3 linked regions of the Arabidopsis thaliana genome follow. Each later gene encodes a partner of the first gene's protein in a complex. Each region holds a gene or a part of one and is shown in the gene's direction. Other genes may lie near its edges.

Evidence for each region. The genes of interacting proteins can lie anywhere in the genome.
Region 2: NRPB7 (region 1) and NRPB2 share a complex: the UniProt entries of both Arabidopsis thaliana proteins name them as parts of the RNA polymerase II complex.
Region 3: NRPB7 (region 1) and NRPB3 share a complex: the UniProt entries of both Arabidopsis thaliana proteins name them as parts of the RNA polymerase II complex.

The regions. Positions count from the first base shown.
Region 1 is NC_003076.8:23,881,640-23,885,818, forward strand, and holds NRPB7 (DNA-directed RNA polymerase II), read left to right. Parts: upstream 1-1,716; 5' UTR 1,717-1,859; coding exon 1,860-1,975; intron 1,976-2,550; coding exon 2,551-2,716; intron 2,717-2,801; coding exon 2,802-2,852; intron 2,853-2,951; coding exon 2,952-3,017; intron 3,018-3,110; coding exon 3,111-3,179; intron 3,180-3,274; coding exon 3,275-3,337; 3' UTR 3,338-3,666; downstream 3,667-4,179. Other genes in the region: AT5G59170 (Proline-rich extensin-like family protein), read left to right, coding at 406-1,272. UniProt on the Arabidopsis thaliana protein: DNA-dependent RNA polymerase catalyzes the transcription of DNA into RNA using the four ribonucleoside triphosphates as substrates. Component of RNA polymerase II which synthesizes mRNA precursors and many functional non-coding RNAs.
Region 2 is NC_003075.7:11,536,367-11,544,210, reverse strand, and holds the start of NRPB2 (DNA-directed RNA polymerase family protein), read left to right. Parts: upstream 1-1,805; 5' UTR 1,806-2,010; coding exon 2,011-2,259; intron 2,260-3,035; coding exon 3,036-3,257; intron 3,258-3,359; coding exon 3,360-3,650; intron 3,651-3,760; coding exon 3,761-3,958; intron 3,959-4,049; coding exon 4,050-4,114; intron 4,115-4,217; coding exon 4,218-4,304; intron 4,305-4,381; coding exon 4,382-4,502; intron 4,503-4,597; coding exon 4,598-4,642; intron 4,643-4,734; coding exon 4,735-4,872; intron 4,873-5,005; coding exon 5,006-5,078; intron 5,079-5,243; coding exon 5,244-5,320; intron 5,321-5,398; coding exon 5,399-5,506; intron 5,507-5,592; coding exon 5,593-5,709; intron 5,710-5,801; coding exon 5,802-5,957; intron 5,958-6,038; coding exon 6,039-6,143; intron 6,144-6,226; coding exon 6,227-6,352; intron 6,353-6,445; coding exon 6,446-6,523; intron 6,524-6,616; coding exon 6,617-6,712; intron 6,713-6,801; coding exon 6,802-6,917; intron 6,918-6,992; and 8 more. Other genes in the region: AT4G21720 (defensin-like protein), read right to left, coding at 1-83, 181-219, 312-415, 625-678, 1,575-1,650. UniProt on the Arabidopsis thaliana protein: DNA-dependent RNA polymerase catalyzes the transcription of DNA into RNA using the four ribonucleoside triphosphates as substrates. Second largest component of RNA polymerase II which synthesizes mRNA precursors and many functional non-coding RNAs.
Region 3 is NC_003071.7:6,731,705-6,736,358, forward strand, and holds NRPB3 (DNA-directed RNA polymerase family protein), read left to right. Parts: upstream 1-1,829; 5' UTR 1,830-1,956; coding exon 1,957-2,405; intron 2,406-2,659; coding exon 2,660-2,897; coding exon of another isoform or gene 2,898-2,942; exon of another isoform or gene 2,943-3,052; coding exon of another isoform or gene 3,053-3,100; exon of another isoform or gene 3,101-3,505; coding exon 3,506-3,778; 3' UTR 3,779-4,115; downstream 4,116-4,654. UniProt on the Arabidopsis thaliana protein: DNA-dependent RNA polymerase catalyzes the transcription of DNA into RNA using the four ribonucleoside triphosphates as substrates. Component of RNA polymerase II which synthesizes mRNA precursors and many functional non-coding RNAs.

The DNA.
Region 1 (4,179 bases):
GTGTACATACTAAATTGTTCTGTATCCATACACACATATACTTGGGAAATCTTCGGTTTCATGGATTCTTCACAACTCGAAGCCTCTTTAAAAACAGATTCTTTGCTTAGTTGTTGTCGTCGCTGCAAATTATTTGACAAGTGGAGAGTTTTTGCAGAGCTAAAAAGCGAATACAAGTTGACCAAAAAAGGTCAAATCCCTGGTTCCATATGAAACTGTCAAACTTTGGACGTGCATGGATACAAAAGCTTCTGTCAGTTTACTTTCCTGGATTTAGGGTTTTAAAACCAGCTGTGAGGTTTGCTGCAATGTGGCAATGTCACTGCAATGTGTTGTATAGAGTCTTAAGTCCTCTGTTTACTTTAAAACCCGTATTTTAACTTGCTGCTATTCACAACAAGAAAAATGAAGTCTTGTCTAGCTACTTTTGCTCTCGCAGTGTTAGTAACACAAGGAAGCATTTTTAGTTTGTGTTTGGCCTCCTCTGCTTCTACAAACTCTGTTCCTAATTGGTTTCATCATTGGCCGCCGTTTAAATGGGGACCAAAATTTCCATATTCTCCACCTAAACCGCCGCCAATCGAGAAATATCCTCCACCGGTGCAGTATCCACCACCGATCAAGAAGTATCCACCGCCACCATACGAGCATCCACCGGTGAAGTATCCACCACCGATCAAGACTTACCCTCATCCGCCGGTGAAGTATCCTCCACCAGAACAGTATCCACCGCCGATTAAGAAGTATCCTCCACCAGAACAGTATCCACCGCCGATTAAGAAGTATCCTCCACCAGAACAGTATTCACCGCCTTTCAAGAAGTATCCTCCGCCAGAACAGTATCCACCACCGATCAAGAAGTATCCTCCGCCAGAACATTATCCACCGCCGATAAAAAAGTATCCTCCGCAAGAACAGTATCCACCACCGATTAAAAAGTATCCTCCGCCAGAAAAGTATCCACCCCCGATCAAGAAGTATCCTCCGCCAGAACAGTATCCACCGCCGATCAAGAAGTATCCTCCGCCAATTAAGAAGTATCCTCCGCCAGAAGAGTATCCACCACCGATCAAGACTTATCCTCATCCCCCTGTGAAGTATCCACCGCCTCCGTACAAGACTTACCCTCATCCGCCGATCAAAACTTATCCTCCTCCGAAAGAATGTCCTCCTCCGCCTGAACATTACCCTTGGCCTCCGAAAAAGAAATATCCTCCACCGGTTGAGTATCCGTCGCCGCCATATAAGAAATATCCTCCGGCTGATCCATAGTAACTCAAAACCAAACAAGGACGTGTTTGTCTATAAGTATATGTCTAGTTAAAAAACTGTTCTGTTCTTTCTGTTATGTTCTTTCTTTTTCTTATGACTTTCTGTTATGATGCATCAAATAAAGAATAAACTGTTCTGTTTTGAATTTGTTAAATAGGAGAGTGCAAGCTCAAGAACAAGCTGTTTCATAAATAAATAAAATATATTTTCTAAAATCAAGTAAAGTAAAAAAAAAATAGATATTGTACTAAATGAATAAACTTGATTCAACAAAGTTTTGTACGTTGTTATAATTTCACTTAAATAATTTAGTGCGTCAAAAAAACAAAATTAAAACGTAATTGGTCAAGGAAAAAAAAACAAGTCTCAAGGGAAAAGGAAAACAAAAAAAAAGGAAAATTTAATAAGCAATCTGGACCGTTCATACTTTTTAGATCTGACGGCTGACAGAGAACTACCATTGGGCATCTTTTATAAACAGAGAGATTTGTTTGATTCCGGTCGAACTCAAAACATAATTTGCTCTCAATAAGACATTAACAAAGTCCCAGAGGCAGAGAGAGAGAATCAGAGAGAGAGAAGTCGAGATGTTTTTCCACATAGTATTGGAGCGGAACATGCAGTTGCATCCTCGTTTCTTTGGTCGTAACCTAAAAGAAAACCTCGTATCTAAGCTCATGAAAGATGTCGAAGGCACTTGCAGGTTTTCTTTCTCTATTCACTTCTAGTAGAAAATCACCAATTTCGGATGCTTTAATCGCAAACCCTTTTCCTCAATTCTCAATTCGGATTCGTTTTCCTTAAGACAACTTCGAAAAAGTTGCATATTTTTTCGAACCCTAATCTCCGTCTAGTTCAATTTGTTAGGTTTTAGGGATTAGAGTGGATTAAATTCGAATAAAGATCGTTCTTTTAACTAAATTGTAGTCTTTCTCTGCTGCTTGTGACTAAAGTCTGATTTTTAGCAGAATTTTTTTCCAAAGGGATTTGCTTTGAAGCCTTTAGCTTTCTTAGGATTAAGATATGACTTCATCCAGCTCACTTAGATGCCTGATTGCAAATCATTCAGATCCAGTATCTTGTTTTGTATTTGATACTCAAGTCTAAAACTTTGTTCTTTAGTATAGTTCGCTTAATCCATTGCTTGTGACAGAGATTTGTATTTTGAGGCCTCTAGCTTTTTGTATTTGCTTTAGGTTTAAGATGTGAAGTTTCATCATTGCAATGTCATATTGATACTTATCAATATTTGCTCTTTTCGTTTTGTGGTATGGACAGTGGCCGACATGGATTTGTAGTGGCGATAACTGGAATAGATACAATAGGAAAGGGTTTGATCAGAGATGGGACTGGTTTTGTCACCTTTCCAGTTAAATACCAATGCGTCGTTTTCAGACCTTTCAAAGGCGAGATTTTGGAAGCTGTTGTCACTTTGGTCAATAAGGTAATGTATCTATATAGTCTTATTTTTTTAGTCAAATGTCTTTAGTGACAAATCAACCTTATGGATTTTCCTAATATTATCACAGATGGGATTCTTCGCTGAAGCTGGCCCTGTTCAGATTTTTGTGTCTAAGCATGTAAGCTTATGATCTTCCATCATGAATTTGACCTCGAGTTCATTTTTGATTCTAGGTGTTATGTACTTACTCTTGTTCTCCTCTCTTTTATCACCACAGTTGATTCCAGATGATATGGAGTTTCAAGCTGGAGACATGCCTAACTATACCACATCAGATGGATCAGTGTGTTTCTTTCTCTAGTTCTTATTTCCCAACAGTATTATATGTGTTTCATCTATCTTCAAGGAACTCATTTTTCCAATGCTTCTCTTGCAGGTTAAGATCCAGAAGGAGTGTGAAGTGAGACTAAAGATTATTGGAACAAGAGTTGATGCCACTGCGATTGTATGCACCATCTCCTCCATAACTCTAGTCACAATCCAACTTATAGTTTTTAGATTATTCTTATCAATTTACACATTTGTTTTTTGATTTTGCAGTTTTGTGTGGGTACCATCAAAGACGATTTTTTGGGAGTCATAAACGACCCTGCAGCGGCATAAAAAGTTTCAAGCAGATTTCAATTTTGGTCTTCTTTCTTTCACAGAGAATGCTGTCTTGTGATAAAGTTGTATTATAGTTGAAGTTTTGGATCTATTTAATCCGAAAGATTGGAACCACGCTTGTTGGATTTAACTTATATGCAAGTTTAGTGAACTTCGTATTTGATCAAAACTGTTGTCATTTTGAGAACAATATAGTACCGAGTAGTGGATCAAATTCTACATGTCTCAATGAAAATTGTATAATTTGAAATTGAATGGATGTTTCATTGATTGTTAGTTATATTGTTTCATATGTTGTGGAAGATATTGAAACTCTTGTTTCATACGTTGTGGTTCTGTTTATCAAATATTTGATAAATCTAAGAAAACATGTTAAAAGTCATCAATTGCTTCTCTCATTCATCAACTTTCCTTATAGGATTTGGTTTTTGGTAAGACCTCTTTGACTATCGAGTAAAATATCTAATTGTATGATATATTGACCAAAATGTACTAATTAAATTCATTGAAAGTTTTCTGAATTTTAACACATTCAATGAATTTGAAAACGCTTTTTTCAAATAAATTTCCATATAGTTTCATAACAATGATGAGTATGCAATCTATTCAATAACACATTCGTTCTCTCAGAGTCACAATCCCAACTTTGCTCTTTCTTTTAGAGTTTCACAAAATGGCTAAGCTCTCTACACCTCTCTACTTAATTTGTTTAGCATTCATCTTCACTAGAGATGTGTCTGCAAATGATTATAGACAGGCAAGTTCAAGTTCCTACTCTGTTTTGTGAGATTCCCATATGAACAACACATCTAATAATACCTCTCTCTCTCTCTATCTCT
Region 2 (7,844 bases), on another chromosome or scaffold:
GGTGGTGGTGGTTGTGGCTTTGGCGGTGGTGGTGGAGGTCTCTTTGGTTTCACCTTATTGACTATCTCAGCTTCAACATCAAACTGCATGATGACAAAAAAATACAGCCACACGGGTTCAGAGAAGTAGAGTGTATTTCCAAACGCATCAAATTATTGAGGTTGAAGCAAGGAAACAAACCTTGTAACCACAGCCTGCTACACATGCGTGAAAGCATTCCTGAATTTAAAAACAGAGTTACATGTACAACAATTAGATACGGTTCAGTCCATTTCTCTTTTTTGAAGAAAAAGATTCATTGTGTGAATTACCTCAGAGTATTTGGCATCTCCAGGAGAACGATCTATAACAGCAGTCCATGGTCTGTCTTTTAGCACAGGATCTTTGTAGCAAATTTCACTGCAGTCTCCTACACCTATAGAGAGTACACTACTATTACACCAATTCATTAACTTGGAAACTTAAACCTGAAAAGCAGAAGATACTCTTCATGAACATGTAATTTCGTTATGTAGGAGACAAGCTTGGTTTTTATGATGTTCCATAGTGAGGACAAATCTAACCGCTCATCATTTCATCAACAGTTTCGTTACAGATTACAAAGAATTAAAAAGAAATGCTTACAATCTTCCCATGAGTCACTATCGGCATCACATCCCTTTTTGCAGAATACTCTCCCTACACAGATTCAGGAATTACATTAGTGCTATGGAAAAAATGTCATACAACAACATGGAGGATAAACACTGATGCTAAAGCTGAAAAAAAACCCAGATTGCTATGGAAAAAATGTCATACCAAGCATAAGTTCAGCTAGCTTTTGTGCCCATGAATGAAATTCAGAGATCAGAGAATGAAAAGCTTTCATCAGAAAGACAGAAACAGCCAAACCAAGCCCTTTAACTAGCTTAAGCATACATATATGTCAATAGTTCATAGAAGCAACATGGATACAGAAGCATCTTTGATACCGTTACTTTGACTCTCTCCCTTTAAATTTCTTTCAGTTCATAAACTACAACTTATTATCTTCCACTTTCTCCTACTAATTTAACCATTTTCTTAATTACATGATAGAAAAGCTCTAAGAACTCTGCATAATCTCCCTTACTTGTAATCAATATAAATGTTGCCGATTCTTCAATCTACATTATTCAATTACGAGTCAAGATGGATGTTCTTAAATACTTGCAACTACAACTATAAGTTGTCTCTGGACCAATCTAACCAAAGAAGCGATTCTTGACCAAAATGTTTAGTATAATCGTAATGAAGTAGAGTGCACCAACAAATAATTAGGGTTTATGAATCAAGAAATCAATCAACAATCCAATTTACAGATCCCAATTTCAATTCCAAACAACAACAAAAAGAAGAAACACTCGGAAGACTAAATTGACTTTTGAATCAAGAAATCAATCACCAATCCAAATCAGAACCCAATCTATCAGCTCCAACAACAGATTCTTATCATCATCATCGAAAACTAAACCATCAAAAAACAACGGACCACGAACATCAAAACTCAAAAACGAATCCGATTCACACAAATTAAGAGTCCAGATATTACATACATGGAAGCTGCGTAAATGCTGAGTACTTATTCGTGCATTTGCTCCCACACGGCGGCGTCCATTGCTGCGGTATCATCTCTCTCTCCCTTCCTCCGCCTTCACTCTCCGTCTCTCTCTCTCTTCTTCCGAAAATATCGCTGACGCCACAAAAATGTAGCCGGAGACTTTTCTTTATATAGTAAGGGTGTTTCCGTCATTTAACAATCCAAGCTCTCTAACAACCAAACCGATCCTTTTTATAATCCCATTTAATCAAACCGGTTATTGATACAAACCGGTTATTTCCATAAACTTAAGCCGACTTCTCTCTCTCGAGCCTTTATAAACTCACAATCTCACAAAGCCGTCTCATTCTCTGCGTCCTGTCTCTCTCTTTGTCTCCGAGAGCTCGAGTAGTGAAGTTTGCTGTGCTCTAATCTTCAGAGAGTGAGAATAAATGGAGTACAACGAATACGAACCTGAACCTCAATATGTAGAAGACGATGACGATGAGGAGATTACCCAGGAGGACGCGTGGGCTGTTATATCTGCTTATTTCGAAGAGAAAGGTCTCGTTCGTCAACAGCTGGATTCGTTTGATGAGTTTATTCAAAATACTATGCAAGAAATCGTTGATGAGTCTGCTGATATCGAGATCCGACCTGAATCTCAGCATAATCCTGGCCATCAGTCCGATTTTGCGGAGGTTGTTTCCTCGTTTTTGTTTTTTTCTAGGGTTTCTATGGGAATTCGAAATTATGTGCGGGTTTATCGTGTTTGTGGCGGTTTTAAAGTGTTTCGATTTGAGCTTCTACCGTTTGGGTGCGATTAGGGTTTACCTGAATCTTATTGATGTCCCGAGATTGTCTTGTTATTCAATGCTTGAGCTATATGCTGTTCAAGAGTCAAAAAATGATTTTGACTATTGATGTCCGGATATTGACTTTGAGCTGGTAATCTTATTAATGTCCCGAGATTATCTTTGAGTTAATGCTTGAGCTCATCTCTTTCGAGGAGGATTTATAGTATTGGTTGAAACTCAAATCAGTTTTGGCACTATAAAAATGAGTTTGGTATCTTTTTTTGCTGTCCCTTTGGTCTGTTTTCCTGCAGACAGTCTATTGTTAGCCCTTATCTGAGAAGCTTATCTCAATGATTTCCCATGATTATCTTTGTATTCGATGCTTGAGCTCTTCGCTTTTTTGAGGTGTATTTTCAGTGGTTTTGAATATTGGTTAAAGCTTAAATCAGTTTTTAAGTTTTGTTGCAATTAGGGTCTGCCTTTGTCGAGTAGCTAAGCTCATTGATTTTCCGAGATTATCTTTCCATTTAATGCTTGAGCTCTTCGCTTTTTTCAAAGTGTCCTTTCAGTGGTCTTTATTATCGGTTGAAGCTCAAATCATTTTTGACTTTGTGTGAGCTGAGATATAGCTGTTTTGCTATCTGTTTTTCTGTATGTCTGATATAGCTGTTTTCCTGCAGACAATCTACAAGATTAGCTTTGGACAGATTTATCTGAGTAAACCTATGATGACAGAGTCTGATGGAGAGACTGCCACCCTGTTCCCTAAGGCTGCAAGGTTGAGAAATCTCACATACTCTGCGCCTTTGTATGTCGATGTTACTAAGAGAGTTATTAAGAAAGGGCATGATGGTGAAGAAGTTACGGAGACACAGGATTTTACTAAAGTTTTCATTGGAAAGGTGTCCGAACTCAGTTCATTGTGTCACATTTATTTAGGTGTTTCCATGTACTCTACTGTTCTGATAGTAGAAATGTTTTCTTCTTGTTTGATTATTTGCTAGGTTCCCATCATGCTCCGGTCTAGTTACTGTACCTTGTTTCAGAACTCGGAGAAAGACCTGACAGAGCTTGGAGAATGTCCTTATGATCAGGGTGGATACTTCATTATTAATGGCAGTGAAAAGGTTCTGATTGCTCAGGAGAAGATGAGTACGAATCATGTTTATGTGTTCAAGAAAAGGCAGCCAAATAAGTATGCTTATGTTGGTGAAGTCCGTTCTATGGCTGAAAACCAAAATAGGCCTCCAAGCACAATGTTTGTGCGTATGCTTGCTCGTGCTAGTGCAAAAGGGGTAAGAGAAAGCTAATTAGTCTTAACTCTACTATATCCTTCCTCGAAATTTATTCTTTAAATTCTAGATAATGGTAAATAAATTACATTCTATGTTGCAAATGGATGCAGGGTTCATCTGGACAGTATATTCGATGTACTCTTCCATACATCAGAACAGAAATTCCTATTATCATAGTATTTCGTGCACTGGGATTTGTTGCCGATAAGGACATATTGGAACACATCTGCTATGATTTTGCCGATACCCAGATGATGGAGTTGCTCAGGCCTTCCTTGGAAGAAGCTTTCGTTATTCAAAATCAGCTGGTATCCACTTTTTTTTCACTTGGTTAATGACATTTTATTATGCTTGAGGAATTGATCTTGCAATCACTTGATAACTTTCATATTACTTCAGGTTGCACTTGACTATATTGGAAAACGTGGTGCAACTGTTGGTGTAACCAAGGAAAAAAGGATAAAGTATGTGATAATCTAAACCAATTAAGTTGGACATTATGATCTAAGATGTCAACTATTGAGATGTTCACACTGGAGGTTTGCGATTGCAATATTATCATTGCAGGTATGCTAGAGATATCCTTCAGAAAGAAATGCTTCCTCATGTAGGAATTGGGGAGCATTGCGAGACAAAGAAAGCTTACTATTTTGGGTAGGTATTTAACTCACTTGTAATGTTTATAGACTTAACATGTTTCTGTGTTGCTCATATTATGCTATGATCCGTAGGTATATCATACACCGGCTGCTGCTTTGTGCACTTGGCCGAAGGCCAGAAGATGATAGGGATCATTATGGTAACAAAAGGCTGGATCTTGCTGGTCCTTTACTTGGAGGGCTATTTAGAATGGTTTGTTCCCGGCACACAATTATACACTCTTGGGGATTGTTGAGTATCAGTGTTTTTTTTATCTCTTACTGACCTAACATCTTCTCTACATGCAGCTTTTCCGAAAGTTAACAAGGGATGTGAGATCTTATGTTCAAAAGGTATCTTACATAGTTACTCTTTCTCGAGCCAAAGACTTTAGTATTAAGTTGTTATTCTGTGTTTGGAAGTCTGATTCATGTTTCTTTGACAGTGCGTTGACAATGGCAAAGAAGTCAATCTTCAATTTGCCATTAAGGCTAAAACAATTACCTCTGGCCTGAAATATTCTCTTGCTACTGGGAACTGGGGCCAGGCAAACGCTGCTGGCACAAGAGCTGGAGTCTCTCAGGTTAGGATAATTCTATGTTAATTATGTTTTTGAGTTCCAATAATTTCTTGATGTATGTTATCGGGTTTACTGTTTTGGCCTATTATAATTCATTGCATGATTTATATGGCTCTAAAGACTTAACTAACAACAGGTTCTTAACCGGTTGACATATGCTTCGACTTTGTCACATCTGAGGCGTCTCAATTCTCCAATAGGACGTGAAGGTAAAGCCTCGTTCTTTTCCTGCACTTCTATTTTGTCTCTGTGTAACTGTTCGTACAGTTGGTGTATTTTAGTCATGGTTCTCTTTATTATCCACATCCTTGCAATTTAGATTGGCTTGTACTTTTGTTTATCCCACTTGAATCTAATCAAGTCTGATATGCCAGGAAAATTGGCAAAACCAAGACAACTGCACAACTCACAGTGGGGAATGATGTGCCCTGCTGAAACACCTGAAGGACAGGTAAAATTGTTATATTTATAAAATAAGGGTGTTTCGGATTTTATAGTTCCATTGCTCATTGTGGCTTTGCTGTACCAGGCTTGTGGTCTAGTGAAAAACTTGGCTCTCATGGTCTACATAACAGTTGGGTCAGCTGCTTATCCTATATTGGAATTTTTGGAAGAATGGGGTACTGAGAATTTTGAGGTCTGTAGCATTTCACATTCAATTTCTTACCCAACATCTGCCTCCTTGGTTCTTGTGGTTTCCTGAAGGTCTTAACTTGAATATAGGAAATATCTCCATCTGTTATACCCCAAGCCACAAAAATCTTTGTCAATGGAATGTGGGTTGGAGTTCATAGAGATCCTGACATGTTGGTGAAAACGTTGAGACGTTTGAGACGAAGGGTAAGCATGCAGTTTCTTTCACGTTTCCATATATGCTAGTGAAAATATTGCAACTTTATGCAGAAGTGACATATTACTTTTTCCTCTTGCAGGTTGATGTCAACACTGAAGTTGGTGTAGTTAGAGATATCCGTCTTAAAGAGCTCCGGATATACACTGATTATGGACGTTGTAGCCGTCCGTTGTTTATTGTAGATAATCAGAAGCTCTTAATAAAGAAGAGAGATATCTATGCTCTGCAACAAAGGGTAAAATTCTAATTTTTACCTGTTATCAAAGTATCTTTTGTTATAAATTCCATTGTACCAATATTTGTTTTCATAACCCAGGAAAGTGCAGAAGAAGATGGTTGGCATCATCTGGTTGCTAAGGGCTTTATAGAATACATAGACACAGAAGAAGAGGAAACGACCATGATTTCCATGACTATCAGTGTGAGTAATGAAATGAAGATGTGATTAAATGAGTTTGTGGTGCACTAATTTCTGCAGAAATCTTACTCTTATGTTTGTTGTAGGATCTGGTTCAAGCTAGACTCCGCCCAGAAGAGGCTTATACTGAAAACTACACACATTGTGAGATTCACCCATCTCTGATATTGGGGGTCTGTGCTTCAATCATACCATTTCCTGACCATAATCAGGTACCTCTGTCTAAATGACTTTTCTATCAGAAGCGATTTCATTATGTAAATTCAGTTTCATGCTAACTAACCCTTTACTTTTTGATGTATTAGTCACCTCGTAATACATATCAATCTGCCATGGGGAAGCAAGCAATGGGAATTTATGTCACCAACTACCAATTTCGCATGGTATGTTCTAGGCTCTTAATTTGTGGTCTTTCTTGTCAGCTCTTGTTACATCACTCAATATTTTAAAGAAATTATTATTGTTCTGTCAACCAGGATACGTTAGCTTATGTTCTCTATTATCCACAAAAGCCTTTGGTTACTACAAGAGCTATGGAGCATCTTCACTTTAGACAACTTCCAGCAGGAATTGTAAGTTATTTTTGCTAGAAGTTTTTCAGAATTCAGCATTGCTCGTGTATCAAATCTCTCAAATGTTTTTTTTTCTTCTTCTTGTGCAGAATGCTATTGTTGCCATTTCTTGCTATTCTGGATATAATCAAGAAGATTCTGTCATCATGAATCAGTCTTCAATAGATCGTGGTTTCTTTCGATCCTTGTTCTTTCGGTCTTACAGGTGAGTATGCTATACTTTTGGACGTTTGCCTTCGGTCTTTCCATTTATTTATACTGCAATCACGTTTGCTGACAGAGATGAGGAGAAAAAAATGGGGACGCTTGTCAAAGAAGACTTTGGGCGCCCAGACAGAGGAAGTACAATGGTAAGAAAGTAATTGACACATGGTTCATACTTCAGTGGTGCTTTTTGTAAGTGAAGTTTAACACTTGGGTTTCTGCTGCAGGGTATGCGACATGGTTCTTATGATAAACTGGATGATGATGGTCTTGCGCCTCCTGTAAGTTTATAATTTATTGTTCCTTAATTATTTATTATCTGATATGATTAGGTGACTAATGTTAGAAAGCATATCATACAATCTTTTATTTTTGGTATAGGGTACTAGAGTTTCAGGTGAAGATGTTATCATTGGGAAAACCACTCCAATATCTCAAGATGAGGCTCAAGGACAATCATCCCGATACACTAGACGTGATCATAGTATAAGCTTGCGACATAGTGAAACTGGAATGGTGGATCAGGTAACTTTGGCTTTTCCTTGCAGTTAAGGGTTTAGAAAGTTTCAGGATTGAAATATGAAACTGATCAATTCTTGTAACTTCGTGTAGGTGTTATTGACTACAAATGCAGATGGTTTGAGGTTTGTGAAAGTGAGGGTCAGATCCGTGCGGATTCCTCAAATTGGAGACAAATTTAGTAGTAGACACGGTCAGAAGGGAACTGTTGGCATGACCTACACGCAGGAGGATATGCCATGGACGATTGAAGGGGTCACTCCGGACATTATTGTGAATCCACATGCTATTCCGTCTCGAATGACAATTGGACAGCTAATTGAGTGCATCATGGGAAAAGTGGCAGCTCACATGGGAAAAGAAGGAGATGCTACTCCCTTTACAGATGTCACGGTAACTTGCATTTTCC
Region 3 (4,654 bases), on another chromosome or scaffold:
TATATTCATATATATATATATATATATATAAACAGTTGTTACAATCCCAATCATCATAAAATCTGTAGAGTCCTCTTCCAATCTTAACATCGTAGACAACGTTTGGATTTCTGCAAGTGGAGTGGGTACTTATTACTCTCCAGGTATTCCTGTCCTGCATGAAGTTGTTGTCAACTGTATAGAGTCCGTCTTCCTTAATAAGTATAGTGAAAGAGCTTGTTTCAAGGAACAGTAAATGGTTGTTGTCATAAAGCGTTGTCCACTCAGCAGCATTAAGCCAACTTTGGGTTGATGCTTTAAGTACATGTGCGACATCTGGCAAATATAGCATCAAAATATATTAGATTTGTAGATATATAAATAACTATCTTAGTTTTGCTACAATGTCTTCTTCAATTAGAATTTTCCAAGCATCAGTTCTATCACAAACCTTCTCCTAGATCTCCCTAGAATCCAGATCTGCTACATTCTTAGATTTTTAAATCTTGCCTAAGTGTTACAAATTCCATAGATCTTGCATTCCCTAAATCTTGATGTTCTAAAATTTCTAAATACAATGCCTCGATTTCCCAAATTCGCCACAGTATCTCGATGATCTCCTTCAAAACTAAAAGAGTTTTTAACTAACCAAATACTCAAATACTCCTAATTTGTATTCTTAACCCTTTAACCATAGCCTAAACAATACCCAATTTTTAAAATAATAAATAAACACTTACATTGTTTTTATTGCTTTCTTTGTAAACTATGAATTTTTTTTTGTATATATATATAATTTTATATAGATTTCACTATACATATGAAGAAAATTAATCAGACACATATTATTAGTTGCACTCTCATTTTCTTGGAAGTAGGAAAAATGATATAACTTGTTTAATTGTACAAACATTACCCAATTTTTTTTATTTTATTTTTGTCGTATTGTTTTGGCCGAACCATTTTCTTCTTTTATAAAATGGGAATTTTTGCATTCTATTTTCGTAGACAAAGAGTAAATTAATCATTTGTGAGAGATAATAATAAACTTTGGATGTTCTTGTCTAGTAGCTTAAAATAAAATTGAGTATTTTTGGTTTAGATAAATGTATAAATGGTGTCTAATGTATTCTTACCATTGGATGTTTGACAAATTACACATTTCTCCATTTTCTTTAGAGTAATCAAAGGGATAAGCATTGTAAGAGTTTATAACGATGGTCCTTGTGATGATCTAAATAATGCATTAGGCAGTGCTTGTTGATTAAAGAATGATGAAATCCTTTAACACTCACATGTTAAAATATTTGTTAACATCTTGTCCTTAATATTGTTAAAGAAACTTAACTAAACTTGTTAACATTTTGATTATGGGTGTCAAAATGGGTCAAAATTTATGGGTCAACTCAATTCAACTCAACCCATGAACTCTAATGAGTTCAAAATTTTGACTCAAATGAGTTGATGGGTCAAATGAGTTGATGAGTCAATTGGTTTGATGAGTAAAATTAGTTGGGTTGTAATGGTTAATGGTACTATGAGATCATTTCAAATTTTTTGATACATGGTGTTTTCCTCCCAAATATATGACTATAATATCACTAAATACTATGAGATCTCGTAGAGTTGTTGAGTACGATAAAAGAATCTATGAAAAAAGAACTTAAATAAAGAGGTATACGTTTGACAAAAAAAAAAAGAAAAAAGAAAAAGGAAAAGGTATAAAAAAAAACATTTGAGTTGGGCTTATATGGGCCTGTTTGAAATTTGGTGACATTACTTTTCGCCAAAAGAATTAAAAAGGCCCATATAGGCCCAACTTTAAACATTACTCTAATATTTATATCTTTCTCACTTTTGCTTTATTCTGATTTCTTCTCCTATCTCCTTCTCCGGCGAAGAAATTGAAAATTCATTATCCCTAAAACCCTAATAAAGGTCCAGAGAGTCGTCAGAAACCACCGATTAGCTTTTGAAATGGACGGTGCCACATACCAAAGATTCCCAAAGATCAAGATCCGTGAGCTTAAAGATGATTACGCCAAGTTCGAGCTTCGTGAAACCGACGTTTCTATGGCCAACGCTCTCCGTCGCGTAATGATCTCCGAAGTCCCTACCGTCGCAATAGATCTAGTCGAAATCGAGGTTAATTCATCTGTACTCAACGACGAGTTCATTGCTCATCGATTAGGTCTCATTCCTCTCACTAGCGAACGTGCTATGAGCATGCGTTTCTCTCGAGATTGTGATGCTTGTGATGGAGATGGACAATGCGAGTTTTGCTCTGTTGAGTTTCGGCTTAGTTCTAAGTGTGTTACTGATCAAACCCTAGATGTTACTAGTAGGGATTTGTACAGTGCTGATCCTACTGTTACTCCTGTGGATTTCACTATTGACTCGTCTGTATCTGATTCAAGCGAGCACAAGTAAGTCCCTTTTCATCATTAGATTGTTAAATGCAGAAATGTGGTGTTTCTTTTGTCATTATGAATCGATTGGAGTTGTGAAACGTTAGAGATTAAGCAATGGTGAAACAAAATTTGCATCTTTTAGCATTCCGAGGATGAAAAATACTTCCTTTCGATGGCCCTTTGCATGACTCTTCTTGTTCGTGATTGTTTGATGTTTAATTATGGTGGTTGTGTGGGTTAAAGACTCTGTTTTTGGTTTCGGGTTTCAGGGGAATTATCATTGTGAAACTGCGTCGGGGACAAGAGTTGAAGCTTAGAGCGATAGCGAGGAAAGGGATTGGGAAAGATCATGCGAAATGGTCTCCTGCAGCTACTGTTACGTTTATGTATGAGCCTGACATAATTATTAATGAAGATATGATGGATACTTTGTCAGACGAGGAAAAGATCGACTTGATTGAGAGCAGTCCTACCAAAGTGTTTGGCATGGATCCAGTCACCAGACAGGTTAGTTTTCACGTTTTGGAAGAATGCAGCTATACAAGTTTATAGCTTTGAGACTTAAATATGATTGAACTACTTTATAGACTGCCATGCCTTGAAATATATATATGTGATGTGGTTAGTGCATTTGCTCTTTTCTGTGCTTCTCTTTCTGTTAGATAGCACTACTTAGCTCTTTAGGAGAATTACGCCAGTCATCGGAATGAATCAAATAACTGCTAAACTTCTGGTACCAAACTGAAACATCTTTCTATATCTAATCACTGCAAATTATATGAATCACTTGGAGTATCTCTGTGCCAGTTGAACTTTTGTTTGTGATTTCATGTTAGAGATTTCAAATTATTCGAATGGTAAAGGGAATAAAGAAAGGAGAAGATATAGTACTTGTAGTACCTCTGTACCAGTTGAATTTTCTTGGAGATTTCATGTTAATGGTTCAGTGTTTACTAGGACTCACCACAACTGACAATTTTCCTTTGACCCGCTAGAGAACATTGTATATCATTATAACAGTTACAGTAGTTTATCGTTGGAATTTAGTATGCCATTTCTTTTGAAGTCTGTTGCTTGAATCATCACAACTGTAATTTTTATACTTTGCTTCTTAGGTTGTAGTGGTTGATCCTGAAGCATACACTTACGATGAAGAAGTGATCAAGAAAGCTGAAGCAATGGGGAAACCGGGACTCATTGAGATCAGTCCGAAAGATGACAGTTTTATATTCACTGTTGAGTCCACAGGTGCAGTGAAGGCTTCCCAACTGGTACTAAATGCCATTGATCTTCTGAAGCAGAAGCTTGATGCAGTCCGTCTCTCAGATGACACCGTAGAAGCGGATGATCAGTTTGGTGAACTCGGTGCCCATATGCGTGGAGGATGAACTCAAGTGATTAATTCGAGCTCTTTGTTATACCTGTTTGTTTCAGGTTTTGAGTTTCTTCTGGAGCAGACTGATATTAACCGTAGTGGCACTGTCTTGTTTGATAACATGTGAAGTGGCAGTCTTCTATTTGTTCTGGACCTCTGATCCCTCTGTTCCTGAATCTTGTTAAGTTTGGTTGTTGTTAGTTGTTAGACTCGCTCGTAACGAAAATAAACGCAAGGATTAAATTCAATACATTGAACAAGTATGATTAAAATGGAACAAGTATGTAGTTTAATCTTAAAATTCGTACCATTAACTGAAATGGAATGAAAGACTTTTGCATAGTGGATACCCAATTTAAAGCTCTTAAGTTCTTGAACTTCGATCACACAATAAGTTATGGTGAGTAGCTTCCCTTGGAATGAAACAAGAGACAAAAACTCAAAAGTTTTCGAGCTAATTCATAGGTCCGAAATGATGTCATGGATCTTAGATAAGAGAATTCCGGCATTGATTACTTGGACTAATTATTAACAATCAGATTCAATCAGTAAATCTCTCAATTCTGCTTCCAAAGTGGCAGTGATGACCGCTCGTATCGCTAGTCCTTACGCCATGAGAGGGGATGCCACATTTTCACGCATTGCTGAGTGGTGAGTCGAAAGTCCAGTGGTCAAATAGGTCCAGCCACAATTTTATTTTTTAAAATTATAGGCCACCACATTTTCGTAAGAAAGTAAGTATATCTATTTAGTTGGATCAATTATGGGATCGGCACATTAAAGTTTGTGCTTTTGTGGAGATAGAAAAATTTCACAGTATTCACAAATTGAGGTACTTTTACCTAATGTCGTTTTACAGTTTCATTTTTTACAACTTTGTAAAAAAAAA